Alligator mississippiensis: one gene and its partners. The main gene of each other region encodes a partner of the protein of the gene in region 3 in a complex. Links are inferred from orthologs where the notes say so. Each region holds a gene or a part of one and is shown on either strand. Other genes may lie near its edges. The genes, in order: IER5, ARPP19 and PPP2R2A.

The links.
Region 1: the proteins of PPP2R2A (region 3) and IER5 are in contact, whole or in part, in a cryo-EM structure (PDB 8UO5), measured with the Homo sapiens proteins. The link is inferred for Alligator mississippiensis from reciprocal best matches to the Homo sapiens genes PPP2R2A and IER5. Residues at the interface, in NP_002708.1 of Homo sapiens: Glu91, Ile92, Glu93, Glu94, Asp116, Tyr178, His179, Asp197, Leu198, Met222, Leu225, Thr226, Glu227, Val228, Thr230, Ser247, Phe280, Phe281, Glu283, Ile284, Ser287, Cys334, Tyr337, Glu338, Asn339, Asp340, Phe343, Lys345; in NP_057629.2 of Homo sapiens: Ala7, Arg9, Ile10, Ile13, Ser14, Lys17, Arg25, Gly26, Lys29, Leu30, His31, Lys32, Leu34, Leu35, Val36, Leu38, Val39, Leu40, Arg41.
Region 2: the proteins of PPP2R2A (region 3) and ARPP19 are in contact, whole or in part, in a cryo-EM structure (PDB 8TTB), measured with the Homo sapiens proteins. The link is inferred for Alligator mississippiensis from reciprocal best matches to the Homo sapiens genes PPP2R2A and ARPP19. Residues at the interface, in NP_002708.1 of Homo sapiens: Lys18, Gly19, Ala20, Asp23, Asp24, Asp29, Ile31, Thr45, Asp47, Gly49, Arg51, Val53, Phe55, Val73, Thr76, Gln78, Glu81, Pro82, Glu83, Phe84, Leu87, Lys88, Ser89, Glu91, Glu93, Tyr178, His179, Asp197, Leu198, Asn221; in NP_001293124.1 of Homo sapiens: Lys42, Pro43, Gly44, Ser46, Phe48, Leu49, Arg50, Arg52, Leu53, Lys55, Lys58, Tyr59, Phe60, Asp61, Lys75, Pro93, Asp97, Leu98, Pro99, Pro103, Leu105, Val106, Ala107, Ser108, Lys109, Leu110, Ala111.

Annotation. Positions count from the first base shown.
Region 1 is NC_081828.1:52,565,066-52,573,681, reverse strand, and holds IER5 (immediate early response gene 5 protein), read right to left. Parts: upstream 3,836-8,616; 5' UTR 3,785-3,835; coding exon 3,161-3,784; 3' UTR 2,552-3,160; downstream 1-2,551. UniProt on the Homo sapiens protein: Plays a role as a transcription factor. Mediates positive transcriptional regulation of several chaperone genes during the heat shock response in a HSF1-dependent manner. Mediates negative transcriptional regulation of CDC25B expression.
Region 2 is NC_081834.1:23,355,929-23,366,725, forward strand, and holds the start of ARPP19 (cAMP-regulated phosphoprotein 19), read right to left. Parts: upstream 4,264-10,797; 5' UTR 4,102-4,263; coding exon 4,057-4,101; intron 3,796-4,056; exon of another isoform or gene 3,370-3,795; intron 1-3,369. Other genes in the region: ATOSA (atos homolog protein A), read right to left, coding at 9,775-9,928. UniProt on the Homo sapiens protein: Protein phosphatase inhibitor that specifically inhibits protein phosphatase 2A (PP2A) during mitosis. Inhibition of PP2A is enhanced when ARPP19 is phosphorylated.
Region 3 is NC_081830.1:23,495,632-23,505,788, forward strand, and holds the start of PPP2R2A (serine/threonine-protein phosphatase 2A 55 kDa regulatory subunit B alpha isoform), read left to right. Parts: upstream 1-5,069; 5' UTR 5,070-5,084; coding exon 5,085-5,121; intron 5,122-5,882; coding exon 5,883-5,957; intron 5,958-10,157. Other genes in the region: EBF2 (transcription factor COE2), read right to left, coding at 3,041-3,150. UniProt on the Homo sapiens protein: Substrate-recognition subunit of protein phosphatase 2A (PP2A) that plays a key role in cell cycle by controlling mitosis entry and exit. Involved in chromosome clustering during late mitosis by mediating dephosphorylation of MKI67.

The DNA of each region.
Region 1 (8,616 bases), on a different chromosome or scaffold from region 3:
AATGGGGAGTTGCTGTTCACTGCTGCATGCATGACTGTTCCAATTGAGCCTATACTTGCCAAGTACACATAGTCCCATCTACGACGCTCCACTGCAGTGAATTAGTCGTGATATAACCCGAGATAGGTCTGGCAATGGCTTGGGAAGCTGGACCGGGTGTCTCAAGGGCAAGGTATCACATACCACTGGCCAAGTAAAAGATCACACATTTACATGCTTCGAGGACAGATCATCCTTGTCAAAGGCAGAGTTCTGATGTATCCCAGAATAGCCTTTACTGCTGGTATTTCCAATGTTGCCAATAGTTAAGTTACAGAGTATTTGGTTGGTCATCTATTATATTACACAACTCCTCCTGGAAAGTTAGGATGGATGGAACCAGTGCCAACTGGTACTGAAAGGAAGCTCAGCTTCAGGCTTGTCTAACACAGGGAGAGTCAGTGCCTCCTGACCAGCTGGAACATGGACCTTTCTTCAGTTGTTTGTGGCACAGAAAGCCCTTTAGGGCTTTTATGCATATGGAGCTGTTCCCAATTAGCTCCATGTGTTGACATTTATTCCAAGAGAATGCTACTCCCTGTTCAGCCAAACACTTAGCCCTTCAAGTTGAGTAGGAATGGCTCCATGTGTTCAAAACACCAGTACTACAGAGAAGCTCCCACCTGTTGTCAGATAGCTTCTCAAAAATAAAAAAGGAGAGAAAAAGGTAAGAGTGAAACCCACTGACTGCAGGTTTGAATAGGAAGACCTTGTCCAAACAGAAAAATGCAGGGGGAGGTTTGGTGAAGTACAAGAGTTCTCTTCCCTACACCTTCAACTAAGTGAAGTAATTCCACAGAAGCCAGCCAGCAGGATAGGAGAATAGAAAAAAAAGACAGCTATGTAGACAGCCACTTAAGGAGCTAAAATAAAACAAAAACCCACCACAACCCACCCCCCACCAAAAAAAACAACCACCAAGAAAACCAAACAAACACACACACCAAACCAAGAACACACACTAGCTACATTCCCACTACACCCATTACACCTAAAGGTGACCCACTTGAAATGGAAAACAAATCAAACGTGGGCCTGCGAGGATAAGTGGAGAATATCCTCCCATGGGTATATGAAGTATCAAGATAGCCTCAAAGAGGGTTGGGGAAATTTCAGGAAATCAGATTTTCTCTTCAGGCCTATTAAGAAGTGGTAACATTACTGGAGTGTGATACTGCAAGTACCAAGAGGGGTAAGGGAATAACAGATTTGTGTTTAAACTTCAAATCAAACACTTAACTCCTACAATACTCTGGGAGAACAGACACCCCCCTTAAGAATTTAGCTTCCTTGTAAAGATTGAGACAGAGAGAGACACAGAGACACTATCTTATTTGAAAAGGTAAAACACTGTCTCTCCCCAGAGCCTTCTTTTATCTAAAAGAGTGTACATTACCAAGCATGACAAACATATCATGACAGAACAGAGTCCCTTCTCTCCATTGCTGTTTTCACTCTGCTCTTTCTGTCCCCTCCAGTCTTCTGAGGGACAGGAACTGCATAGCTGCACATCCAATAGTGCAAAACCCTATGCCTCTCCCCCCCCACACTGCTCCTTTCTAAGCTAGGGAAGGGAGGAGGTGTCTCCCATAGACCAAGGTTTCTGCAGTTGATTTAAATGATTTTCCCCAACATTTCTGCAAACTGAAGGATATCCTAGATTGCACAAGACTTTGTAAGGGTTATTAACTAAAAAGGCTGAAGTCTCTCTAACGCCTATGTATCATCATTAAACTGACCGTATCTTGTTAACAAGAACAATTAAATCTGTCTATTCCCCACTGTAATTATTACTGTTCTGGTAAGCCAAAGTTAATGGTGAAAAACAAACAAAGTAGTAGTTTCTCAATGGAAAAGACTTCCACAGGTTATAAGTATGGTATAAGAAAAAAGAGAATTCTTTTCCTAGAAGCTTTTAGTTGACCAAGTTATTTATATTACCACCCAATACCTGGGCTGACTGGACAAGATAGGACAACAACCTTGACTGTTAAGAAAACGTTAGTTATTTTGGCAGTGTAGCAGCTCTTGTCATATTGACTTCTCAGTCCAACTAAAGGAGAGGTTGGAAACTGATGATTTACACATTTTTTTTTATTAAAAGTTCAAATGCTACTGCAGCACTATTCTCCCCCCTCCAACTCACTACAGCCTTACAAGCAATCTCTGGATTTTTTTAAACAACAGAGATGGCAAGAGACCTACTGGGCATACCCCAAGTCAAAACCCCCCAAATTCAGCAGGCAGTTTGCCAAGCCACAGAGCTGAATAGGGAACAAGCTACAGCAAGAGGTATTTCAGATGACCTGGAAAAAAAAAAAAAGTCCTGAGAGGGACTCTCATAATCTTGCCCTAACAGAAGCTTCCTTTCTTCACAGCTCCCAGAGCTAGAAACAAAACCACCCAGACCCTCTGGGTGGATCCAGGACACAGCCACCACACCCTCCTCATCTCCCATGCCCAGCTCTCACCCTTCCCACCCACTTGGCGGCTGCATAAACGACTACAGCTGAACAGTTGAAAATATTTAATACGTGTTACACACGTAGCAATACAATTTCTAATACAAAAAGACAAAATACATCACGGAAGGAGAGAACACTGTACTGTACAACCCCCACCCCCCAGAGAGCCCCAAGCCTTTATAGAACAAAGGCCGGGAGTCCTCCCGCCTGCTGGAGAAGGCTCAAGGACTTGCCCCAGTGTCTGTAAACGTGGTTCTGCTGCATTAAACTCTTGGCAAAAAGCACCATGTAAGTCGTCCTGACCTCCAGCTTCTCCAGAGGCAGCTTTGAGAAAACTTGCCAGGAACTTCCAACTTTCCTGGCTCAACTTACTGCACCCCAAGTGTCTTGGGCCCCCAAGGATGGGGCCAGGGAAGGCTGGCTTCGAGCAGCGATCGCAGCAGGCAGGCACGGAGGGGCTGCTCCTGCCCTGCTCCCTCCAGTGCAGTGCGTAGGAGGAGCGAGCGGGGGGCTCCCCGGCGCTGCTCCCCACTTCCTGCCTGTTTGCAGAAGGAAAGCCCCTTCTTCCCCAGCTGGTGCACGGGTGCAGCGCAGCGCTCCGGCCTGGGGGCACCCCGCAGCCCGGGCCTGCGGGGCAGAGTCCTGGGCGCGGGCGGTCAGAAGGCCACGATGGCCGTGCTCCAGGGGTTGAGGTTCCGCAGCACCGGCTCGTCGCAGCAGATCTGGCCGGGTTCGCCCGTCGCCGCCTCCCCGCCCGCTGCCGCTGGTCCGTCGCCGGGCGCCCCTCGCCGCCGGCCCGCGGGCTCCTTGCCGAGCAGTCCCGAGAAGCTGGAACCGAAGATGCTGATGAGGCTGGCCACGTTGCCCGTCTCCATGTCCTCCGCCGGCTCCGGCTCTAGTTCCCCCTCCGCCTCGCGGCGCGGCTTCTTGCGCGGGCTGCCCGTCGGGCCGCGCTCGGCCGCGCCGCGCTTCCGCGGGCAGGGGGGCGGCGCGGCGGGCTCCTCCGCCTCCGCCGGGCAGCAACAGGGGCAGCGGCGCGGGCTTGCGCAGGCCGGCGGCGGCGGGTCCCAGCAGGCGGCCGGGTGCGGATGAGGGGCGGGCCCGCGGGACGCAGCGGGCGGGCAGCCGGGCTCGCTCAGGTAGACCTGGCGGGCGCTGCGCAGCACCAGCGACACCAGCAGGTTCTTGTGCAGCTTGAGGCCGCCGCGCTGGCCGCGCGCGCTGTAGATCTTGCCCAGCGAAATGCTGACGATGCGGTGTGCCTCCAGCTTGAACTCCATGGGGCACTGCGCGCCGCTCCCCTCGCAGCCAACTGAGCCAAGCCCACGCACCAGCCGCCGTATATACCGCCGCCGAGCCGGCCAATCAGGGCGCGGCGCCGGGCGCTCCGGCCAATGAGGAGGGAGGGAGCGGGTTCGAACGCGAGTCCCGCGGAGCGGGCTCTTAAAGGGGCAACGTCCAGCTGCGGCGCCGCACACGTGTGCGGGTAGGGGGCGCGTTGGCCCTGCTGCTCGGGTCTCAGCAGCTGCGGGCTGGGCCGCGTCCTGGGCGCTCCGGGGCGGTGGGGCACTGTGAGGGGCCGAGGCCAGGCTCGCCCCGAGGCCTCTGCCCCGCAGGAGAAAGGCGGGCGAAGCCTCTCTCTTAGCTGTGATCTTGCCTAACGCGTATACCGCGTGCCCAGCCAAGGAACCGGCCCCACTTTCCAGCCCACCATCAGCCTGTCGCTTCCCCCCACCCGGTGATGGGGCCCCAAAGCTTCGCTGTGCCCGGCTGTCTGAACCTGGTGCCACAAGAGCTGTGGACCTCCAGCCTGCTCTCCCTAGACCAAAGCACAGGGAGCAGCTAGAAATGGAGGCTTAGCCAAGGTGGCAGTGGGCCAACAGCAGCCCAACACCAACACCAGGCCAATGCGTCAGTGGAGTGTCTGGCTTTCAGCGAAGCTCCCTTGAAACCCCCAACCAAAATCTGATGCCTTGTCAGTTATCAGCCACAAAACCAGCCCTCTGCATGGTCCGAACACAGCGGTGCCCCTATCCTGCACTCAGGGTTGCTTGCCTAATACTTTCCACTGTTGCCCTCAGTTATTTATAGCTTTACAAACTAACTTTTAGGGCTGTGGTTTTCCACTCCCACTATTGGTCTCTTGGCTGACTGAGTTATTTTGGGGAGGGGGAAACTTTAGCCAAGGAGATTCAGCTATTTCTGCAAACAAGGTCAGGGAATACTTTTTCCCCTTATAAAAAACTCTTAGAGCAGATTCACGAAGAATACCCAGCATCACCATGTTTTGAAAGGAGAAACCTGAGATCTGGGATGAGAGCACCACTGCCTTCTCAGGGATGCGCCTTCTAGTATTTCACCGGACAAACAACCTAAATATAACCGAGTTCTACAACTCTGAAAAAAACTCTGTTTGTATGCGTTTGGGAGAGACTTGTTAGGGGCATTTGGTAATTAAATTCCCATCAGAATCCATCTGCCCAGAACATGCTGCAGCCCCTGGGCACTCATGTGGGTGACATGTCATATCCCCACTGAATCAACAAGTGTGCACCAACCCAGAGCTCCTGGGTGAAGAATAACTCCCTAGAAATTGTGCCTCCCAACTGTTGCTGTGGTGCCAGGCACTGCAAACTATAGCAGAGTCACCATCTATGCTCTTGATGCTGCTCAAGGAACAAGGATAATAAGCTGCTTGACTCCAAAGCAGGGAAGAGCTGGGGCCCATTTAGGGTACAGGCAAGACAGAGCCATCCTCTAGGAGTGGGGAAATACCAGCATAGAGAAAGAAGAGCAGAAGCAGGTTCCAGAGCAGGAACGGGAAAAAGCAAAGGTAGAGGCGCACCTCTAGAAACCCAGGCAAAGAGGGAACTCAAACTTGGGACCTCAACCTTAGCAAGCCAGCTCACCTACCACTGGGCTACAATCTAGTGGCTACCAACATGCCTCCCACTCCACCCCTCAGTGGGCAAGAGGCATTCCAGGGAACTAGGCTGGAACCGAGACCCCTGCAGCACCACTAAGAAAACGTGGCCAGCCCTGGTGGCCATTCCAGGCTGTGGCCCCTGCATTTACTTGGATGCCATCCAAGGCAGCAGCCCCAACTTCAAGCCACCCCTGACCTGAAGCTTCTGTTAGACATGGGAAACTTGCTTCTCTCCAGGCCTCTGCCAAAGGAAGGGGACAAGGCACTATGCTCAAACTGCACTTTGTGCAAGTCCCTGATATGGAGAGGGTTTCTCTAACCTGCTGAGTCTGCACTGGGCTGGGCCAGTCCCAGGGCCACTTCTGGGCTACAGGAGGACAAGCACTGAAGTTAGAAGCCATCAGACAGGTAAAAGGACTTAAATGCAGACCTTCACTTTGGGCCAGCATATAGCCACAGCACGGCTAGGTGTATTCACCTGGAATAGGGAACAGCTGGGTTCTAAAACTCTCCTCTGCAGCTGAGTGAGAGGCAATGCCTACCCCAGGCTGAAGCCCTGCCCTGAGTCACCAGGCTGTGCTGTCGTGCTCTTTTCTTCAGGCAGAAAGGACAATAGAGCTTTTTGGTTCGAAGCATAGTCTTTGCTTCCCATCTCAAGCCTGCTTGTAGGGGGTTGACTCAAGGGACACAAGTCTGTACTGTGTATCTCAACATCACAACTCTGCTGCTGACCCAACTTGGGGAGCAGTTTGGTTCCATGTGACAGAAATTCTGTTGTGTCCAGCTGGCTTTTTTGAAAGCCTAAGAACTTACATTAAAAAATAGAAAATAATATATTACGCCTGCCAAATTAAACATTCAAAAGTCAAGTGATGCAGGAATTAAGGCTGTCTGTGAAAAATGTAATTCAGCTCCTGCTGTGCATAGTCTTTAATTACCTGATCACATTTCATTTTTTCCAGCATACCTCTCTCATTCAGTATGTAGGAAGGATGGTCCTGAGGGGATGTATTCACAACTGCAATTTAGGTCAGTGGGAACTATGCTCTGAACATATAAACTGTCATATAATACTAAGCACTCTAAAAATCAGGCCCTATATAGCTCAACCTGGGCACACAAATACAAAGGCTTTTCTATGTAAAACTACACGTAACTCTCACCTGTCCATTGTTACATATCAGTAGTTAATAATCCACTGTTGATTGCAGGGCATCTTATACATTTCTCTTCTATAGCCTTTTTTTAAGATAACATACAAAGTCTCTTCTCACAAAACCATACTGTCTGTCGATTCTACTTCTCTAGATTGCTGCTTGTTACAAATCACAGTACTACTTGCCACACTTCTGGATTTCAGAAATATCTGTTTTCTAACACTAGTCAGAAAAAGACAGAAAAAGGAACAGCATTTTTTTCTGAAGCACTTCAGACTTCTCCCTGGATTCCTAAGTATTTTTCTCAGCCTCCACTGGCATGCTAACCAACATATGAAGGCTATAAATGGAGTCAACTGGGGGTGGAAATGGGAACATCTGTGAGCTGAAATGCAGCACACAAGGAGAGCTTTTACAAGGAGCAGAGTAGAAAATGAACCATTATTTTGCTAAAAAAGGCAGACTGTCCTTCCTACATAGGCAAATACCCGGATGGAATTTCTCCATAATCCCAACAGAGTCCTATGTGTGTGGATTCCCCAGTAGTTACTGAATGTATTCCTATTCCTTTGGTTGTATTCTTTCTCTCCCACACACAACAATTCACCCTTTATGCACCAATGACTCCAAGTTAGCCTGTCCTGAGGTAGAAGCTCACTAGCCAAAAGTTATGCCAGCCATTTTTCCTTTCAGGAGTACTGTTGAACCAAATGCTGGCTCTCACCCTAAGAAACCCCCCCGCAAATACATTAGACAGTATCTTAGACTGGAAGAGCTTCAAAATGTATGTTTTCCACTAAGTCATCAATTATAGTTTAAATCCAAAATGAGTTCTGAAAACAACAGAACCATCTCCCAAAACATGGTTTGGTATCCCCTAGCCTCCCCACAAACCCAGCATAATACAATTCTCATTACTGTAATTGGGAAACCTTAAAACATGCCAAACTGTGAAAGCTACAGTGGTACAAAATCTCTTTTTATGACTTGGAAATTCTTTCACTTTCTTCAACAACAACAGTCTTTCTCAAGTTATGGAGAACACCGCAGTCATGTACATGCCTCACAAGTTGTTTGTTCCCTGTGCAGTCTTCAGCAAACAAAGAAGGAGAAGGAAGTAGGATCATGTGAAGGGAAATGACTGATATAAGGAAAAGAATTGGCTCCCATTTCTAGACCCAGTGAACCAGATTCTGTATCATGATCCTATGCCTCAGGACGTTGACAGCTCTACCTCTTAAATAAAGACCTAACCAGAAAAGCTGAGTCTGGGACTGAATGCTTGGAATTCCAGTTGGTGGTATCTATCTATAACAGCCTTGTTCACATTTGATATATTGCCATGTGTCCAGGATGTGACTGGCGGGTGTTAGGCTGTTACAAGTCAAGTTAAACTCTTTTTTGTGACACCAGAAGAGTCACAGATTCTTCAGCTTGCAGGATCTGGGTCTGTGATGTCACTCAAAGATGATTCCAATTTGAATGTTAAGGTTTGTTAGTCTTTGTTTAGGGGAAATTCATATTGATTTCCTGATGCATATACCTGATGAATAAAGTGATCAGCATTGGTGAGGGAGTGCTTTCTTTACCCCAGAAACCTGACTTTCAGTAGCTCCCACACCTGAGTAAAGCACCCAGCCTTTGGAGTTTACTGATTCATTTCATCACTGAGTCCTCAGAAAGATTGAGGTGAATCAAGATTAGAGACAGAACAGTGCCAAAACCTGAGATATAAAGCCTCCTCAAAATGTTGGAACTAAAGCCACATTATTGGTGATGTGCTACCAACATTTTAACCGAAGACTCATGCAGGTATTTCTACTGCATCAGCAGTAAAAGTGTTATTCCTTGGGTAAAAAGCGTCTTGTGAGATAAAATCTGGTAGTGCTGAAAAATCGTAGAGATCCTTGCTTGAAAAACACTTGTTCAGCACTCCCTGGCAGCCAGGATGATTGTCTTCCATGACTGTCTTATCTGTGGGTCCAAAGATGGCTGATGAGGCTGATAGGTGAATAGCAGACTCTGTTGC
Region 2 (10,797 bases), on a different chromosome or scaffold from region 3:
TAATTATTTTCCCTCCGATGTTTCTCTTTTGTGACTCAACCTTTTGTTTTTGGCTTGGCTAAACAAGCTTTTAGGCTCATCTCAGTGATTTCCTCTACACCTGTTCTGATTTCTACGTATCCATCAAGGCTGACCAGAACTATACAGTATTTGGGTAAGGACTCACCTGGGCCTTGTATGAAGCACTGACATTTCCCTATCTTTACTAGAAACCCCATGCCCAACTCATTCTAGGATCACACTGCCAACCCAGTGCTCTTTGGATTGACTGTACTGCCAGTTCCAACTGAAGAGCTCCTGGTTTACAAAATTTGTTGTTAGTACCCAAGTGCACAACCCTAGAGTTGGTTTCAACCCATTTCTACTACTCCAATCCTTAAGATTGGAGTAGGGGTCTGACTCAATGATTTAATAGAAGCCTTCGGACCTTAGACATCTATGAAACCTATGAAGATAATCAATTTCTTTCTTAATATGCCAATCTTTCCCTATATAGTTGACTTAATTGGAGATACTGTTAAGACTTCATCAGCACACTTACATGTTCCAAGGTCCTTAATGAAAATGCTAAACAAAACTGGTCTCAAGACCAAGAAACTTAACGTGTTGTTAAAGCTAGGCTCCTCAACAAATTTTCCATAGTCAATAAAATAGATTTACTGCAACCCAATGCTGAAAGGCAGCCAAGATGGCTGACACAAAAAATATCAGCTAAATCAGGCTTCTCAACCCGCGGATCACCACCCAAAAGTGGGTCACATGAATGTATGAAAGAGTGGCAAACAAACTTTAAAAAAGGATGAACACTTTTTTTTAAAGGAAAAAACAATGGAAAATCATGGTGTCTCCCTTGCATGCTGGCAGAATTCCCCCCAGACCGCACCCCCCACACACACACACACCAGGGGCCTGCATGTTGGGAATGAGGAGCACTGGGTCAGGACTGGACATTGATGTTTACAAACAGGTCCTGGTACAAAAAGGCTGAGAACCACTGAGCTAGATGACTGAATTTTATTAGTAGATGTTTAGGATTGTGAATACAAAAAGATGACAAAGCCAGTAGGGAAATACAAATCACCTGAGCAAGGGACTAATATTAGAGGGATGGGGGTGAGAAGGGGAACACAACTAGGTTACAGACACTGCTGCTTAAACCATCATCTGAGCATGGTGTTCTGCATATCAGAAACACCAAAACAAACCATTACAGAAAATAAATGAAAGTTAATCAAACAACACAAACTATTGTAGCAAAGGTAGATATATTCAATACAGGAGTCAGCTGCCACTTCAAGAGGCTTTTCTTAACCATATAGGCCATGTCCACGTGAGTGTGGACGTTTGGTTCCCTGGGGATAACCAGCAGCGGCACACCTTGCTGCCAGCTGTCCCCAGGGAGAATGCCTATGCCACATGCCCTCTGGTATACAGGCTGCCCTAGGTAGGGTAGGGGAGGCTGAGGCCACCCTTACCTGGGGTCCTCCTGGAGCTGCAGCAGTGGCAATCCTGCTGCTCGGAGCCTGGCTAGCAGCTGGAATGTGGCTCTGGCCAACCATGCTCCTGTTTTAAGCAGCGTACACTGTCCCCACATGTACCACTGCTTTATTTTGTGTGGGGTTTTTTGACTCCTGGATATCCAGGGGTCAAAAAACCCCACCATGCTGCTCCCTTGCAGTATAAAGAACAGCTGAATGGGCAATATGTGGCACCGTTCACATGTTTGTGGGGGGGAGGGGAGTTGGGACACTGTGTGGGAGTTTGGGGGGCACTGTCTTGGGCAGGAGAGAGGAGGAAAAAAAAACACAATAAAACCACCTCCAGTTTAGATGCAACCAAAATTTCAATTAATATTCAACTTATTTAACATTTTTCACCCCTCTATTCTGGAGCGCACAGGCTTCAAGATTTTGTTGTACTTTTTTTTTGTTGGGAAAGACCCTAGCACTAAATCCCTGGCTATTTCAAGTTTAAGACCATTTCCAAATATATACGGTTTATTTGCTGGTCAGTTTTTTCAATAAAAGACAGTTTTGGAAAGTAAAATGGTTGTAGTGTAAACAGTTACTGGATTTCTGTACCATTTACCGAAACAACATTTAGTTCTGTACTTTAAAATTTTATACAGTTTTATTCTCAGGGTGTGTAATTACTTAAGTAGCAAAAAGCTACAGTTCTGATACAGTAGAAATATGGTAATTAGTCTAGAATATGGCACTTGTACCTGGGAAAAATATTGCCAAATCTTTAATTATTTCTAGTTCTCTTTTATAAATATGTCATTTTATTTGCTTGGGGGAGGGTCCCAGCTCAAAGAGCTCCTGAATTTGTTCTTTGTATGCAAGATGGTCAAATGTCTCAAATCCTTACCATAGTGCACATTAGGGACCAAGAGATTTTAAAGCAAACAGCCCTGAAAAAAAGTTGTTATTCATTACTATTAGTTAACAACTGGGAAACATTCATGAGACAGGTATCCCCAACTTGCAACACAATACTTGAAGGAACATTTAATCTGAACCACCAGTTCACAAAATGTGGGATTAAAATGTGTCCTGTTTCTTAAATGTTAAAAAAACTTCTGTCAAAGGCATTTACAGAACTCCAATAGCACAGTGCCCTGGCCTGATGCACAGTGGGCCAGACTGTGCAGTCACTTAGTGCTTGCTTAACTGTATCAGTCCTTAACCAAGTACTAAATGACTGTGCAATAACCACCATTACTGTGAAGTCCCGGTGCCACACAGGTAGTTTCTGATGCTACTGCTCAGTAGTGTCAGCATCACAGTTCTTACCCGCTGAAGCTATGTCACCATAGCAACAAGCTACCTATAGCTCATCACTACAGCGATGTAGCGTTTCGTGGAGATGCCAGTCAAATTTAACTTATTTTTGATGATTGGTGAGTGCATTTCACTTTGATTTAACTTAATGCTTCATGCTACCTGTTTCTAATACAATAACTCTTGCAGCCAAATAGCACCAGTGTTGGACTTCCAAACAACGTTTAGACACGGATGATGCCCATGTCCTGAAATTTGAAGGATCCCATTAGAAACAGTCTCCAGATTAAGTCACTTGACTTGACTCAGAACTGTATGGAAGAAATTGAAGAGTGTTTTTGCATGATTTCCTACAAGTGTTCTCCTGACATATTTTCATTGAAAGACAAGCAAAATAACTCTTTGAGTACATTATGGTTACCTCTTTAATACATTTTGGATATTTTTTCCAATAAATGTTTTCCAAAGCTAACCATCCCTTAATTACAGAAAAACAGCAATATAAAATGGTGAAATACAGGAAAAGGGGAAAGAGGAAGGGGGGGTTGAGCTAGTTAACATAGTGCAATCAGTCTGCTCTTCCTACCTGCCCAGCCAGATTAGGTCAGCAAACCCGAAGACTGGATGAAAGACTTCAAACTGTAAATCAAATCTATCCCCAAAGCTTTGACAGCAGAGGGGAAAGTTCAAGCAACATCAGCATTTCAGGAACCCTTTGCGACTGCTCGGTCGGGGAATGTTTCCTGAGCAGACCGCAGGGCTGGGACAAGACCAAAGAAAAGCAACTCCAAAAGGAGCACAAAAAAAATATAAAAAAGAAGGAAAGAGGAAACTCGATGCCCGTGGGAAAAGGACGAGGTGCTCCTAGCCACGGAGCTGCGATGCCCCCCCCACCCGGGCCAGCTCTAGTGTACGGGCTACAGCCCCGAGCACGGGGCGCGGGGGGAAGGTGCGCACGACCGCGCAGGCGCCGCCCCCCGCGGGCCTCAAGCTGCGGCGGGGCCGGGGGCACTGTCCAGGAGCAGAGCTCGAGCGGTGCCCGCAGGCCCCGGGAGCCAGCGCCGAGGGGGCGCCATGTTCACCGCGGCCACAGAGCCGCCCCGCCCGCGAGAGGAGGCGCCGGGCGGCCGGGGAGGGGAGGGGAGGGGAGGGGAGGGGCGGGGCGGCGTCTCATCGGCCCGGGGCCGCGGCGGAAAGGAGCCGGCGGCTGCTAGAAGCGAAGCACGGAGCCGCCGGGCCCCGGGAGCGTCCTCCCCCCACCCGTGGCGCCCACCTTCTGCTCCTCGGCGGACGCGGGCTCGGGGCTCTCGGCGGACATGGCGCCCCCGCCAGCTGCAGGCGCACGAAGGGCTGGAGGAAGCGCCGCCGTCTCCGCCGCTGCTGCCGCGCGCCGACCACCTCCCGCACAAGATGGCCGCCGCACGCCCGACGGAGAGCCGGCAGGACCACACTTCCTCCGCGCCGTGCTGCCCAGCGCGCCGCCCGCCTCCGGAGTGAATGAGCGGGAAGGCGCTTCCGGCTCTCGCGGGTTCCGCTTCATGACGTCACATCCACTCCCGTCCCCTGGTGCATGACGGGAATCGTAGGAAGCCTTGCTGCGGCTGCATGTCCTCTGGAAGAGGCACGGGGGCGGGGCTCTAGGGCACGGCCGGAAGGGGCGGTGCCGCCGGCTGCGCGCTGGGCTCATCCTGGGCGCTCCTGCGGAGCGGGGCCAGGGCTAGAGCCCCGCGGCTGGGTGGGCGGCAGCGCCGCCTCGGGGCCCAAATTGCTCCGAAACTGAGTAATCAGCGCCCGTAGTAGCTATGACGTATTTTATTAGACCAACAAGATTATCGCAAAAAAATTCTTTTTGCAATAATCTTGTTGATCTAAGAAAAGATACCATCTCTTCTACGAGCCCGGATTGCTTTTTCCTCTAGACCAATAGGGCTACAGCCTGGATACTTGACGCATCCAGAACAGCGTCAGCCTAGCTTTGTGCAGCTCCTGAGGCAGGGCTGCCCTGCCCGCCCCCGGGACAACACGCCTCTGCCCTCGGGTGCATTGGTGGGGTGCATGCGGGTGCACGTGCACCCCATGAGATTGACCACCACCAACGCTGCCAGTGGTGCCTGCGGGCAGCTGCCACTCGCCGCCTCCCCCACCTCCGCTGCCGGTGGCATTTGCCGGCAGTACCCACTTGCTGCCTCCATGACCCCCAGCCTCGCGAGGCATGAGGTGTTCATGCTCAGGTCCCACCAGTATCTCTAACGCTGGCACCCAAGGGATGGCTTCTATTAAAGCAAGACACACATTGCATTGCCTCTGAAACACATGGCCCGGGATCCGCAGTCTGCAACATGGAGTTGCCACAGAAGCAGCTTGGCCATCAGGCTAGGCAGGGCTCTCTTCTCATCTGCCCCTTCCCATGACTTGGTTGCAATTCAAGACTTACAGGGGCAAGCGTGGAGATCCATTTGCAGAAGCCTGAGGGCCAGGTGCCTTGCCAGCCCGTTACACAAATACTCAGGGAAAGCGATGGAATATTAGTAATGTTAGTATAATGAATATCTGATATTAGTATCTGCAACCTGTACCTCAGATATTAGTATTTGCTTTCCATTTCCCACTCTGGGAGCTGACTGCTACACTCACTCTAGGCAACTGTCAAATGGAAGGACATCCTTATTGTAGTTGTAGCCTGGGCTTGGGATCACACATCAAAAAAGCCTAAGCCTGAGCCTCTACCACTTGGGCTCAAAAAGCAGACTGAATACAAAAGCAGTAGTAGTCATAAACCTTAGTATCTGGTCTAGGTGCAGGGAGTGACAAGCATTCTGTTAGTATGAATTAGACACATAAGGTTTGGCAAGTTCCTCTGAAAATCTTGCAGTGAACAGGAGGAGACCTGGCTTCTATTGCCAGCTCTGTCTGAAAGGACCTCAGGTTCTTTTACCTTCAAATGTGGCTGCCATCTTTGGGGGTAACTGCCCCTAGGTATGTTAACGGCAGAATTGAAGAGCTGGAACTTAAACTCCTACTCTCGAGATTTTCAGCACCCTGCACCTTCCCCAAGATCAGAGGATTCTAGTTGAGAGCACTGTTCTGATCTTATAACTGAATGAAAGCTCTTCACACCATCACAAGGTAGCCTGACCTAGGGACCAAAAACATGTTATTTCCATTAAATTCATGAGAGCTGGCAATACCCTATAGAGTACATTATGTTTTTCTCTCTCCTGTTGGAATTATAATCAGCAGCACTTTATAGAGTATTAGAGAAACCCCCTAAGGTTTTTGTTGTTTGGCTGTATTTTTTTTCTGCTGGGAATCTCAACTCCAGCCTTGCCAGTTTTTGCTTTCTTCTGGATGTGCCTCATACAGCTCTTCTTCATAATGTTTCAGACATAAGTTTAGGTTATGAACAGAATTTCTTTAAGCCCTTCACACATTTATTCTGCTGTTCTTACACACAATATTTACCCTATAGTCAGTCCTGCACATCTCTGCAATTAAGTCAGACAAAACACCCAGAAAGAAATAACCAGGAAAACTAGTCTCCCTTAGATTTACTGGTAGATTTCTAGAAGGCAAGATCTGTGGAGTTCTCATCTTAATGGAAGGAGCACAGACCCACATGTTTAACCAGGATTCATAGGCAGAGGGAGAAAAAAAATATTTGTCGGGGCTGAGCGTGCACGCATATTCATGGACCTCCCTTATACAGGTAAGTCTGTGGAGGAAGCAGTGGGGGGAGAAGAAAGGGCCAGGGTGTGGCGGGCAGATCGAAGCCCCAGTGGTGAGCGAGGGAGAGAGGCACAGGCAGGAGCAGGGGCTGGGGTGAGTGGGGCCCTGGGGTGGGCTGGGGCCAGACTGGGTGGTGAGACAAGTGGAGGCCCAGGGGGCATGTGCCCCCTCAATCTGTGCACAGGGCAGAGGCAGATGCTGTTGCTGCATGCTGGGCTTTGAGACCCCCTGGCCAAATTGCCCTGCAATGCTGTATGCATCCCACTGCTGGGCAGGCAGGGTGCGCGACACAGCCTAGCAGTGACAGGCACATGGCATCAGCCACTCCCAGGGCAGCTGTAGCAGGGAGCAAAGCGCAGAACACAACAGCAACGGCAATAGCAACTGCCTCCACCCCACACACAGATGGGAAGGCATGTGTCCCCCAGGCCTCTGCTTGTCCCACCACCCAGCTGGCCAGGGCCCCACTCAGCCCAGCCCCTGCTCCTGCCTGTGCCCCACTCCCTCCCTCACCACGGGGGCCTCAATCTCCCCCCATCCCCCACAGCCGTGAAGGAGGGAGTGGGGCTGGGGATTGAGCCCCCCACAGTGCAGGAGGAAGAGGGGCAGGGGGAATCATTCACCCCTGCCCTGCCCCACTTCCTCTTGCACTGTGGGGATTGTCACATGACCTAGCCCAGCCCCCATTTACCGTGGGGCCCCAGCTGGGCAAGATCGTGGGACATTTGGAACCTGGTGGCTTGTCCAGGGGCTTGTGGGGAGACGAGGCTCCCACCGCTGTGCACAGTGTGGTCAAGCCAAGGTAGGGGCACATGCCCCCTGATCTGTGGGCAGGGAGGGGGTAGGCTGGGTTCTGCTCCATGCCTCTGCACATGCCCACCCCCTCCTTTAGCCCCCCCACGATGCATGCAGCAGCAGGAGCACCCACCCCCACACCCCTAGATGGGCCGCCAGGTTCCCACTGTCCCATGACCTGGCCTGACTGGGGCCCCATTCACAGCAAATGTGGCCCTGGCTGGGCTAGGTCCTGTGACAATCCCCACAGTGCAAGAGGAAGTGGGGCAGGGCAGGGGTGAATGATTCACCCTGCCCCTGCCCCACTACCTCCTGCACTGTGGGGGGTCTCAATCTGCCCCTCCCCCAAGCCCAGTCACAAAGACAGATTGAAACTTATCTGCTGTGCTGGCCAGCCACACACCAGGGCTGTATGCACGCCCCTCCGCTCCTGCTGCAGCAGCCTGCGACCAGGCTGCCCTGCAGCTATATCTGCTGCCCTATGTTTGCAGGGGTGGGGTGGGGGGCACTGTGCCTTGGTAGCCCCATCTTCTGCCACCTATGCCAGGATTTCCTTTCTCCAAAGCCTTTGAAGTTACTGGCAAATAGGTAAATGTCCTTTTTATGCCAATAACTTTGTAAAAATAACTACAAGACTTTGGATATCAAGTGGGGAGCATCCAAAAACTTTTGCAAAATACTGAAAAGATTAAGCATTAATATTAAATATATGCTTCAATTTAAGTCAAGAAAAGTGAAAAGGGTAGCTTTCTCACTAGCTCAACTATGCATGGCACCCCATAGCACCCTTGTAATGTTAGAACCGTTACGTGTGCAAACATAATTCACAAGATAAATCCAGAGATTTCAAATAAGAATCCATAGCATCAAAAAACATTCTGACCAATTACTTTGGTACTTTTCTCGTCAAAACAAGTGAAAACTAGAAGCTGGCCTTTTTCCAAGGGGTGCCTTAGGCCTAAAAAGGTTGAGAACCAACAATGACACACTTAGCTTTATTTTGAAATACTGTTTTTATGAAAATAGGCTGTCATGTAAACTGCCTGTCATGATCTGGGGAAGTGCTTTGTTTTAGGGAAGTAGACAGGTAGAAGATAAAAAAAAATCATTTGCTTGGCTTCCCAGTATTTACTAATTTTCCAGTATTTACTAATGCAGTCCAACCTTATATAACCACCTAGGGCCCCTATACTCGAGCAGACTCAATTAATCGAGTCTGTTGGAGCATGGTAATTACCATGCTCCAGCAGACTCCAGTGTCTCATGTATCAGTGTACCTGCACTTAATGGCAGAGGGGGTGCTTTAACTAAAGCTGCTTCAACGAGCATTAGGTAAAGCGCCCCTACCACCATTTTAAACCACAGGAATGGTGATACACAAGACACTCTGGGTGCTTTAGAGTGGCTCTTGAAGCCACTCTAATTAAAACATCCCCTACATGTATGTGTATAAATGCCCCTGCTAGCCTAAGTTGGAAAGGGAAAAGAGAGGGGAAGAAGACATCTATCAAATATACCTAAACCCACATGAATATATTCCTCATCTGAAAATAAAACCAAACTACAAGTTTCATAGTTTCCGCATATATTTAGGATATAAATACTAATTTGTTTGCACAATACATCTTTTTTTTTTCCTTTAGACACAATTTGAAAAAATCAGGTATGGGAGAGGAATTTTATGTGAAATGTTTATACTGATAACTAGAACAAAACAAAACTCTTGGGATTGTGGCCCTTAAGTGAAAAAAAGAAACACAGGGAACAAAATATGAATTGGGTCAATGAGTTGAACTAGTGAGTAGCTAAAACACATTCTGCTTTATGATTGTAAAGAGATGTTAATAGAATCTGTGTGGAAAGCAATGAGAATGAGGTATCATCAAAAACTAGAGCATTAAAAACAAGAGGAAATCCACATGCTTGCCTAGGATGATAATGTTATGGAAGTTCAAATTCCATCCTCATTTTCAATAACTTAAATGAATATCACTTAAAAACACATCACACAGACTTAAAGACTTCTGTATATATTTCAGATTTCAATATTATTAATGCCAAAAATACATAGTATGATTTTACATAGGATTTATGCTACATTAGAACACTAAAGACAAACATCACTTGAGTATTAAATGAAACATTAAATATTAAATAACTGAAAAATAAAATAAAAGGTGTAAACACTAAACTAACTTGGGATTTTGCTATTGCAACACATCCAATGAAGTGGTTTTAAACAGTACAAAAAGATTAGACATAAGTATGCTTCCAGTCTACTTGGAATACACAAAGCTCACTCCAGAAATCTTTTACAAAAACTGGTCCAGAATCATAGACGAGCCTTGTCTCTCACTTGAGCACTATTTTAATTTCTTTATGTATTGAATTTTATACTGCATTCTATGCCAATCTTTGTTCTTAGACAGCAATCCGATAGTAAAATGAATACTTCCATTTTCAGTATTTGCTAACATCTTGGTGAGAATTGAGGGTTTGTTGGAGATTCAGTGTATGATTTGAGTTCATATGCAGCGCCGCTATCAACTTCCATGGATTTCCGAGAGAACAGGAGCCGTACATCTCTGTGGAGGTAGATCTTTCCAGATTTAGAACTCTGGAACCTAAAAAGCAATATTTATACAGTGTAAATATTTTCTTTTAATGTTGACTAGCTGCTAACCATCCAAACAGATTAATCTTTCTCTACCATTTCTCAAGTGTGTAAATTAAAGGAATTAAGGCCATGAAGTGTTTGAATACGTTTACACACACATGCATGCGTGTGTGCACTATATATAAAATACATAAATAATAGGCAGTAACTGGATAGAGTTACAAAATGAAACTGTCCAATAATTAGATTCAATATTCTTGATCTTTTGCTTCTATTCAGTGAAGTCCTTAGGAGAGCACAGGGGACAAAAGCCTGTAGTGCAGTCTGACAACTACTGCACAGCTATGTAGAAAAAAGGAATTAATGTGGGATGTTAAAGGGCTGCACAGAAGGTACTCCTGTTCCACATGCCACGGAACCAAGTACTGCATATCTGAAGTGGACTACTGCTTGAAAGAAGACTGTGTGGCAGGAACACACCCAAGCAGCAGCTTCCAAGTCCAGGAACAGTTAGAACCAAACACATAAATAGGAGTATATTAGTTCATTCCCCAACCTTCTTGCTTATATTCACTACTGGAGGTAAAAAGTGGATGCAAGTTTTAGATTCAAGATGCCACCGAGTTCATTCCTCAGCTTCATCCATTTAGAATCATCTGCATTAGTTAAAATTTACACTGTGCAACCATGAGACAAATCCAAGACCCAGGAGCTCTGTATAGCACAGCAATGTCCAGCACAGTACAAGAGGAGTGACATGTGGAGCAGTGGGGGAGGGGGGGCACTGCAGTGAGGGGACAGGATAACACATGGTGCAGTGTGCAGCGAGGCATGCAGTCTGCAAGGTGTGTGGCTGGGAGTGTGCAGAAGTTGGAC
Region 3 (10,157 bases):
TTGTTTTACTTAAATTACAATTGTGATGATTTATCTACTGTGTACGTATATACTACTGGCCATTAACGAGGACTACTTGGCTATGCATCTTAGTTTCATTATTGTTACCGGCTAGCAGAGATTTTGCTTTTCTTTAAGTACATGAGGCCTGGCTATGGAGCTGAGGTGTCTGGATTGTAAATTTGCAGCTGCTATATGAAATTCTCTGTGCCACAATGGGCAGCGTAAAGGACTTAGATAGTAAGTTATCTGGGTAAAGTGCATCTTCTGGTCTTTGTATAGCACTTAGCAAAATTGGCCCCAAGTTTAAAATCAAAGCTCATAGTTGCTTAAAAGTTATGTCTGTCAACTGTACTAAATTAAACTGTAATTAGTAGTTATGTCCCTGAACTTTCACCTAGTTTAATTTATATGTAAATAGTAAACTTGTATTATTTTTTCATAAAGTTTACATGATAATTTTTACCGATTAATTTAGTAAATATGTCTAACAAAGCTCTGTGCTGTGAAAAGCTCCTTGGAACTTGTTGCATAAATGTAATATTTATAATTACTAATAATAGTTCTAATTTCATAGGTAGTGAACATATGATTCCCCTGTTTAAATTAGTGAAGCATATGCATGTAGTTAAGAAATTTTGTGAAACTGTAGTAATTTTGCACTAATAATTTACACTAGCATATGACTGCCAAATCACCAAATGCATACAAGCAAAGACTACATCACAAAGGTGTTCCACCAGGTAATAAGGCTGTGATTTAATGTTAATTATTTATATGACTTCATTATGTTCTGTAGCCAAGTTGTTTATAATACTAAAACGTATTTTTTAATCTCACAATGTTTAAGTGAAGAGTCATATCTTTTCTAGAGGAACTTTGCTAGTTACAACAAGTTGTAATAGTTTCTTTAATCCACGATATAAAGCTCTAATTGCATTTTTTTTTTTTTAATTGCAGGATTTTTTAATCCACAGGAACTCCATGCCAAGGGCTGAATTAATTTCTGAAGCCCAAATTAATGGATTAATTCAGCCCTATTTGCAAAGGAGGCTCACTAAGTGTTGGCAAGATGTCTTCCTCCGAGCTGTGCAGAATGTTGTCAAGTCATTCTGAAAGAATAGGGATTTACCAGATTTCATTACAAATTTTAAATCTGGTCCAGGCTGGAACAGCCCTTTGTAGAGACCTACCACATAGAGGTGGAGCAGATCATAATGTCCCCCGAGCTCTGGGAAATGTGGAACTATATTTTTATGGCTGTCCCTCAACTCCCCAGGCATCCAACAAGCTGTGATCCTGTTGGCCTATGAATATCCTTAAGCTTTGGCTAAATTTGTCTCTGGACTTCTGATTTGCTCTGATGCCTACAAATAACACGTGGCAGGGGAGATAACATGATGATGGTTTCAGCCCATGTGGTTTTACTCACTTGGCCGGGGATATTACAAGTATATTACAAATAAAGTAAGTACTTACTTACTTACTTACTTACCCTTTTTCTCCACCTTGTGGGTACAGACAGAAGTGCAGCTCCCAGATGTAACTGAGAAGGCTTTGCAGGAAGCCTTCTGAGTTACAACTGATGTCCTGGAACAAACTGAAGTTCACTGTTGGCTCCAGGGGGAGGGGAATCTAGCTGCTGGCTGCCAACCTGCCCCTGGTTTCCCCTAGCAGTGGCCCAGCCTGTTTGTTTCAGGATGGGAGAGGGGAAAGGGAGCAGAGGGAGCTCATTCTAGGGGTTCCCCAGCCTTTTCTGGAGGGTGGGGTGGGTGTACTGGAGCCCCCCAACCTCGGAGGGCTCTAATACACCTGCCCACACTCCAGCAGGGGCTGAAATACCCCCAGACTGAATTTCCTCTGCTCCCTTTCCCCCCCCCTCCCGCCCCGAAAACAGCTACAGGCTGGCAGGCAGTACAGACAGAAGTTATAAAAGACTCTGTTTCCAAATGTCTTGATCTGACTGACCCTGCATACAATGAGGGGTCAGATTTTCACGTGATTGGCCATTTTTGAAGCTGTCTGCAGCCATGTACTTATGTTTGGTCACCGCTATAAACTGCTTTCTATGGCCAGATCTGGCAAAAAAATGTCACTTCTGTCTGCGCTCTGGATGACTTGGTGTGGGGTAACGGCCTGTCCCTTGCACTGCAGGTAGGCTGACCCCTGCTAGAGTCCACGAAAGCCTCTTGCCTACCCCGTTTATGGTGCTGGGCAATTGCTCTTGGGCTTTCAGTGGTTCCCAGTCTGTGGCACGGGTACCACCAGTGGTGCACATTGACAGATGTATTATAATTACTCGACGTGACCAAAATTTTCTGGTGGTTGAACTGGAAAATTTGCTGGTGGTACTTCAGGCTGTATTGTTTAAAACTCACGGTGTGCAACCTGTCCGAGTTCAGGAACTGCTGCTAGCTTATTCCTTCAGCATTTTGGCTATGGGGAAGCGGGACTGGGAGCACCTGAGCCCCAAGGCCTCCAGGCTCGGGGCTTGCATGCTTCCCGCGGATTCGGGAGCATCTGAAGCCTTGGGCTGAAGAGCAGAAAGGTAGGACACTTGCTGCCACCAGACTTGAGCTCTGTTTAGCGGGCAATTTGGAGCCCATCTGGCCTGAGATGTGACATGTAGATTAAAAACGAGACAAAAGGAAGCTTACAAAGAAGCTCCCTCAATTTTGGAGGAGGCTGGCTGAGGATGCCAATGCAACTGGTTTCTCTGGCCGGGGTGCATCCCTGCTGCCTAGCGGCTCTGGACCCAGGTCGGAGGGAGCCTTTGTCGGGTATCTGATTCAGTCGCAGTCTTGCACGGGGCCCTTGGCAGGACGGTGCCGGGCTGCTCCCCCTCCCCGGCGCCGTGGCGGGGTGGGGGAGGGAGGGCAGCCCAGCCGCCGCCTCGGGGGGAGGTGCCGAGACGTGTGTCGGGGTGGCTCCGGGCCGGGGCCCGGGGCTGTGCGGTGCTCACGTCTCCCAGCCGCCGCGCGGGAGGGCTCGCGAGGCCGGGCCCGCCTGCCCGCGCCCCCCGCGCTCAGTTCGCACCCACCTCCGCGGGGCTGCAACTGACGAGGCTCCGAGCCGAGCAGCGGGGAGGCGAGTCCTGGGCGGGCCCCGCCGGGGCTCCGCGGGGGCTCGGCCGGCGCGGCGAGGCGACATGGAGGCGGCCGTGGGGGCGGGGGTCGCCTCACGGGACGGTTGGGGGACGGTTGGGGGCGACCGTTGGGGGGGGGGGGCGGGCAAGACCGAATCAGCGCCCCGCCCCCTCGGCGTTCTCGCCCCTCCCTCCTCGCTCCGGGTGACGTCACCCGCAGCTCCGCCGGCGCCATTTTGAAAGTAGACTCTTAGAGGGGGGGGCAGGGAGGGAGCCAAGAGCGGGCGAAGCTCGAGGAGCCGAGTCGGTTTCACCCCCCCCCCCCCCGGTACAATCTGCCGCCATCCTCCTCCGCGGCACCCCCCCGCCCGGCAAACGGGGGCGCTTCTAAGAGCGGAGACGTGCCACTATCAGACCCGGCCACCATTGGGAGGCCAACATGGCAGGTAAGGGGAAGGGAGCCCCGTCCTTCCCGGGTACCGGGCGCTGCAGCCCGGCGAGGGCGGGGAGCGGAGCGAAGGGGGCGCAGCTGAGGCCACGGGGCCGGGGCGCGTGCAGGGAGCCTTCCTGGGGCTGCACATGTCTGCTCCCTCTTTCCCTTCCTCCTCTTTTTTTCCTGCATTTCCCTGCATCCTGGAGCGCAGTGTGCAGAGTCCGTTTCTCCCGCTCCTGATTTCCTTCCTTCCTCCCCCGCCGCTTCCCCTCCCTGCCAAAAGATTTGCGTTGCAAAAGGGCAGCGGTGGGGTGAGGCGGGGGAAGTCCTGTGGCCCTGAAGTTGAGTGTGGAAGGGGGTTCCGGGTAGGGTGGGTCTCTCCTTTATTCCCTGTTCGACTTTCTGCTTTGGGCCGGCAGATCTCTCCCCCCCCACCCCCCGCCGCCTCCCTGGAGCGCAGGCTGGTGCTGGCGGTGTAGACAGGGCTGACAGAAAATGGTGTTTGAGTGCATTGGCATCCTATTGTAGAGCTCACCTATAAGACATCTGCAGATAAGAGTCAAATCAGACTCTCAAATAAAAAATACCTGCTCTTGGGGTGGGGGTGGGGTTCTCTTTTTCTTCTTTCTCATTTTCTTCCCCATTTTGCAAATGGCTTTACTTCATGTACAGAAGTGTGGTTGGTAGGACACGATTTTGTTTTGTTTTTTTACTTTTCCCCTTTGAATTATTTTTTTTCGGTGCTCTCTTCCTCCTTCTCTGCAAATAAATTGCATTTTTTATTCTTTGCATTTGGGGAGGCTCTGTTTAGGTTTGCATCTTGCCTTCTCCCCTACACTACAGCTCCCCTCTCTCCACCCATCCTTGTCTTTTTAATCAATGGAAACAGGGTCTTGAAGGCAGCAAGTTGTTTGGAAAATGAAATTCAGCTTGATAGTTAAGGTGTGGTGGCTTTTCCTGCAAAATGTCATCCTCAGAATGCTTCCATGATGTGAAGTGCTAAATAACAAATATCAGAGGCTGGGTACAAGTGAGAAATTGAGGATTCAGGTTTTGGGGAGGTGGGAGAGATGGTGTGGTAGGGTGTACTCCAAGCAAGTATTTTTCATAGGTGAACATCTTCGTGATGCTTCCTATTGCTGCAGCTCAGTCTAATTCACTAATCTCTTGGTGCTTAAAGAACCACCAAGTTCAGACTCTTGTCTGATCCATTTCAAATGCTGGATTCCCCTCCCTAGTGCTGAGGCTGGCTGTTGATGATGTTTCACGGAGAAAGCAGCTTGCTTCTTCATTCTTAAACTTAATTTAACTTGTTCCTTCCTGCATGCCCCTTGTCCCCAGAAGTGGTTTAGCAAGCACTTTGCAAACTGCATATGTTGCTTAGTCCTGGGTTATCATGGCTGGGAGGGAAGTCTCTCTTAGAAAGAGCAAGCTCATTTCAGTCTCTTCCTGTATGTACCAGCCCAGTGATTTGCTCAGCATGAAATGTAAAAGAAATGGGTGGTGGATTCCTGCATGTTTTGGTGGCAAGGTTCAAATGAATCACTGCCTTCCGCTGAAGCAGTAATGTTTCTGAAGCTTTCTCTTCGATCCATTTTCTATGGTAGTTACATTTGTTAACTTTAGGTAGATTTCAGGGATTTGATGTCTCTCTTTTTCCTCTCTCTCTCTGTCTCTCTCTCTCTTTTTCTCTTTCTTCCCTAGGCCTTATATTTACTCCTGGTACTTCTGTTGGGGAATTGCAGAGTTGTTGTAAAATTTCTCTAGTCTTTAAGTATTTAGTTGTTGTAACATTTTAAGGCAGCCAAAATGAAAGTCAGTTTTCTTTGAGATGTGCAAAGGTTTTAAATGTTTGTAATGTTCTGAAAATCATTCCTGGACCTAGTATTTATTTTTAAATGTAAATCACTTGTAAGTAGAGATCTGTTTTTTAGGTTTTACTGAAGTTCTGAAGTGGAAAAATGCTTTGATGCGAAATAAGCTGCTGTTCTTTTGTTTTCACATAGCATTGTTCATGCGTTCTCTTTTTAAACATAGCATAGTTTAACATTTAATTGTAATTATTTTGGTAGTTTTATGACTTATCTAATTGTAGTGAAAAGCTTCGATCATTCTTAGCACTACTTTAGCCAGATTGTGCTTTGAATACAAATTGCGAGTGACAAGCGGTATCATTTTGGGGGAAGCACTTTGTAATCAAGATTTTGGCAGCTCTGCTTTGGCTTGGGAAGTCTTGGTGGTGGGTGTGTACAACAGGCTCTGAATTGTTGCTTGCCAGCCCTAGATGCATGCTGCCTCAACTGGAGCAAATAAAATTTGCAAACAGTTTTAACTGGGGTCTCTGCTGCTTTTTTTTGCTTCCAGGAGCTGGAGGAGGAAATGATATTCAGTGGTGTTTTTCTCAGGTGAAAGGGGCTGTAGATGATGATGTAGCAGAAGGTAAGAAAAGAACTTTTATTTCTTTAAGTTACCTGTCATTATCAGTTCTGGCAGTGGCAAACATTTTTAAATAATCTTCTCTGCTGAAGTGTCTTTGTGAAAATTGAACTTTATTTTTATATAACTATAACAAAGTAGGTAAAAGCAGTGAAAAATTAAATGCATATCTGAGTTTATGTATATTTAGACTCCAAGACTTGCATCTGGGGTATGGTGGGTCCAGCTTGGGTCCAAGCTCAGATATGGTGTCTATAACTGACTGGACTTTTTTTCAGTCACATTTCGTCCGTGTGTTGCTTTACACAACTTGCTGTCAAATGGCCACTATTCTCAGTTGTGACACTGCTATTTATTTGTTTGTGGGGGTTTTTTTACATCCATCAAATATAGATAGTGATGCTTGTTCATATTCCTGGCACAGGTGTTTGAAGATTGATTAATGTTTGTGTAGCACTTCTAAAGACAGACGGTGCTAGATAAGTCACCTAACTTTGTTCTGATCTTTCTGTCATACATAACCATCAAGACTATCTTAACCTTTTAGCAATTAAACATTCATTGTTGAGAGGTTTTGTTTTTAGGACTAAAGTTATTAAAAACAGCCTTAAATTTTTGTAGTCAGGTGTTCTTGTATGGCCAGACATGGATGTCACTTTAGCAATGAGCCTGGTTTCAGTTCTGGGGAAAAATTCCACTTGTAGTTTTCAAATGTTACTTGCTTTGCCTAAGCCCTTTCTCACCATTCAGATGGCTAGGCTGAATGGAGGCCTAGATCCTGCATGCTGCTCTGTAGGGCTGGATACCCAAGCATCTGTTTTGCACAGACCAGCTTGCAAGATCAGGAACTAGAAGAATTTTGTCTTGCAGGGAGTTGTCTTCACTGTATGTAATTTGGGTCAGCATTGTATAGGCTTTGCACTTTCTAACTTGCAGACAAGTGTTAGATTTTCATTGCTTCTAGGAAAGAAGTAATTAACATTCTTTCTATTACTTCAGCTTTTTTTGAGTTGTGGTTTGAAGTACTCCAGGCTGGGTAAAATATGGACCATGGGCTGGGTCCAGTCTGCCAAGGGATTTTATCCGGCCTATGGTGGATCCCTCAGCCCTGTTGTCCCAGGCTCGGGGCAGTCCAGGCTATGGCATGTGCAGCCGGTCCTCGTGCCTCTGGGCGTGCAGCATGATTGCGGCAGCGTAGCAGCTGGGTTCGCTTCCCAGCAGTCCCTGCAGCAGCACCTCCTTCCAGCTGCCACAGCCAGTCTCTGCTACCAAACTCAACCCTGCTGCCAGGGCACCGTGACCTGTCTGCCCCACACCCACTGCTGGGGTTGCCAGACAGAGCAGATGTGTGGGGTATCCAGGACCCCCATGGGCAGGGCGTGCTTTGCTAGGTAGATGGGATGAGGCCATGGGTGGGTGAGGAAGGGCATCTGGGAGCAGGGCAGGCAGACTCCCAGATGTTAACAATCTGGGAGTGGGGCTGGACGCAGGGCTGGAATCTTGGGGTGGTGACAGTGTGGGGCTGGGGCCCCAGGGCAGATCCCCAATCCATTGCCTGTACACCCCTGCAGTGGGTGCCAGTTGTGCAGGCAAGGGTGTGGGGCGAGTATATTGAGGCGCTTCCCCTGGCCCTGCACTTTCACAGCACCGTGATCTCAGCCCTGGCCCCGCTGGCCTGTTCCACTCCCAGATGCTGCTGCTCCCTTGCCCACCTGTGGTCCCATCTGTTTGCCTGAATGCACCCTGTCTGCGGGTCCCAGGCTGGTTTCCATGGAGACCCTGGGATTGCTGGGCAGTGAGAGTGTGGGGCCTGGGGCATAGTCGCAATATGCTTCCCTCACGCCCCTTCCTGCAGAGCCGGCACCTGTTGTAGGGGTGTGCAAAGAGTGGATTATGGCTTGGTTTGGGGCACTGGCCCCTCGATCCTGATCACAGTTCTGGCCCCGCTCACCTCTCCCTCTGTCCCCTACCTGCCCATGGCTCCATCCCATCCACCGGGCCAAGTGTGGGGCAGAGCCAGGGAGGGAGTTTTGGTGAGCTGTTTGCAGGGGGTAGGAGTGGGAGGTGTTGATTCTCACTCTGCCCCAGGACAGCTCACCAGAACTCCTTAAGTGGACTTGCGGCCAAAATAATTGCCCATCCCTGAAGTAACCTGTGAAAGGCTAAATGTTGTCTAGAATTGCTACAAATGTAGCAGCACAATTGTCTTGTTTGTGGTTTTTGTTCAGGAAGCATGTTGCAACATGTAACAATAATAATGCCATTCAAGGATTGTCAGGCACTTACAGAAAGATGAAGTATGTGTCTCTTGTCAGAAAACATCAAATTGCTCAGTAAATATTCTTAAATCCTGATTTCTAGATTACTGTTAAGTATTTCCCCTGCCAGGTATCTTTTTCTGGTGAATTTTGTTTCAGTTGGAATTCTTTAGCTAGCTAATTTCTTAATTAAATGAAGAAAAACTGGGGCAGTAGTGACTGCCTGTAGCAGTTGCTCACGAATATTCCTACTAATGGATTGGGCATATAACCCAGACAGTTTGCATCCCTTCCATGTAGTAATAGTGGTGTTTTTCTGCATTTCTGTGTATGAATGGGTTTTCCAATGATAGAGAAATCTGAGAGCCATGAAATTCTGTCCTTAGTTGTTCCAAAGCATTATAGTATGAAAGATGATTTGCCAACTTCCTGGCACAGTTGGACCACTACAATATCTCGTCACAATAGGTGGAGTTTATTATCCTTAGCTGTGAGTGTATTAACTAGCTTGGATTTCATCAAGGCATTTGGTGACTTTTTAATCTGTGTATATGTTGTCCATTTTTGTTCATTCTGTTGATATACAGAAAGTAAAAGTCAATCTTTGGATAAAATGAAAGTATGTTATGGTTTTAAAGGGACTAAAATTGACTACAATGCTTACTTTCTTAAACTTTGAAATAGGTTTGTATTTTTTTATTAAAAACAAACAAACCTCAGTTTGGTGTGCCAGAGCCTAATTGATTGGTTTTGTGCACATGGAGGGGCTGCTGAAGTGTGTCTTCTGTGTGAGAATCCTGGATCCTAATGGATTTGTCAGGCTTGAAAGTCACTTTTTACTCATGACCAAGCTTTTACATGGCATGCTGAGAGCCCTTATGGAACTGTTACTATGTATAGTTAATCAAAACAACTCTTAGCTTCTATCTAAGTATTTAAAGGTAATGGTAAATTTGGGAGAGATGCCTTATAACTGTAATACTTTCCAAATCGTTTACTGGTTAAATAGTGTATAAGGTTGCAGTGCTTAATTTTTTTGGTTTGCTTTTATCAACTGAAGTTTGCTGAAGTGGTGGACTAAGTGTTGCCTGTGATGATGAAAGGGGAAAAGAGTAAGATCGTAGTTTGTATGTCTGTATCCAGTTTTTAGACAGTTACATGGAATATTGCTATTTAAAAACAGATTTGTTACATTAGCAACTTGTTTTGCTTAAAAAATGGGAATAAACTTTAGAACTATAATTTGCATTTAGTTTGATTTTGCAGTTTATTTTTTGCATCTCCTTCAGGGTTGAGGTGGTTTCACTTTTTTATATATAGCAAATTTGAGTTATTTTCATTATCTGTTTTCTGGACCCTGCTATGTATGGTATTGTAATATTTATGGTGAAAATATTTACTTCGTGTACAAATTATAGCAGTTTAATTTTCATTAAGTGATGCAACTATACATGTGGATACTCCATGTTTGTTTAAACATGGATTGAAACATGAAACCTTGCACAAGCTAAACTAATGAGTGTCCACATACAAATTGGATCCCTTTGACTACATCAGTTAATTGTTTCACTATATCTTTGTGTGGAAAACAAGCCCGAGTATAGGAACATGGAGAAAGTTTATTTGAATTTTTAAAAACCATTATGGGGAAAAAGCTGTATTAAGTTTGGCAAGACTTATCTGGTGCCAAGCTTGTAGTAAACTTAAGGTCAGATTTGATTCTGGTATCACTTTAACAACACACACACGACTCCTGAGTTTTAAGACTCTAAGAATAGATGGACTGTCTGTGCTGTGCTGTGCAAGGGACTGATGTATATTTTCTTTTAAAATAAACCATGCCCCCTGATTATTGCCTCTCAAAAGAATCCTGTGACTTCAGTTCTGTGTTTATCCTCTTGGATTCTGATAGCCAAACTTCTGGATGGTAGAGAATAGGCTAACT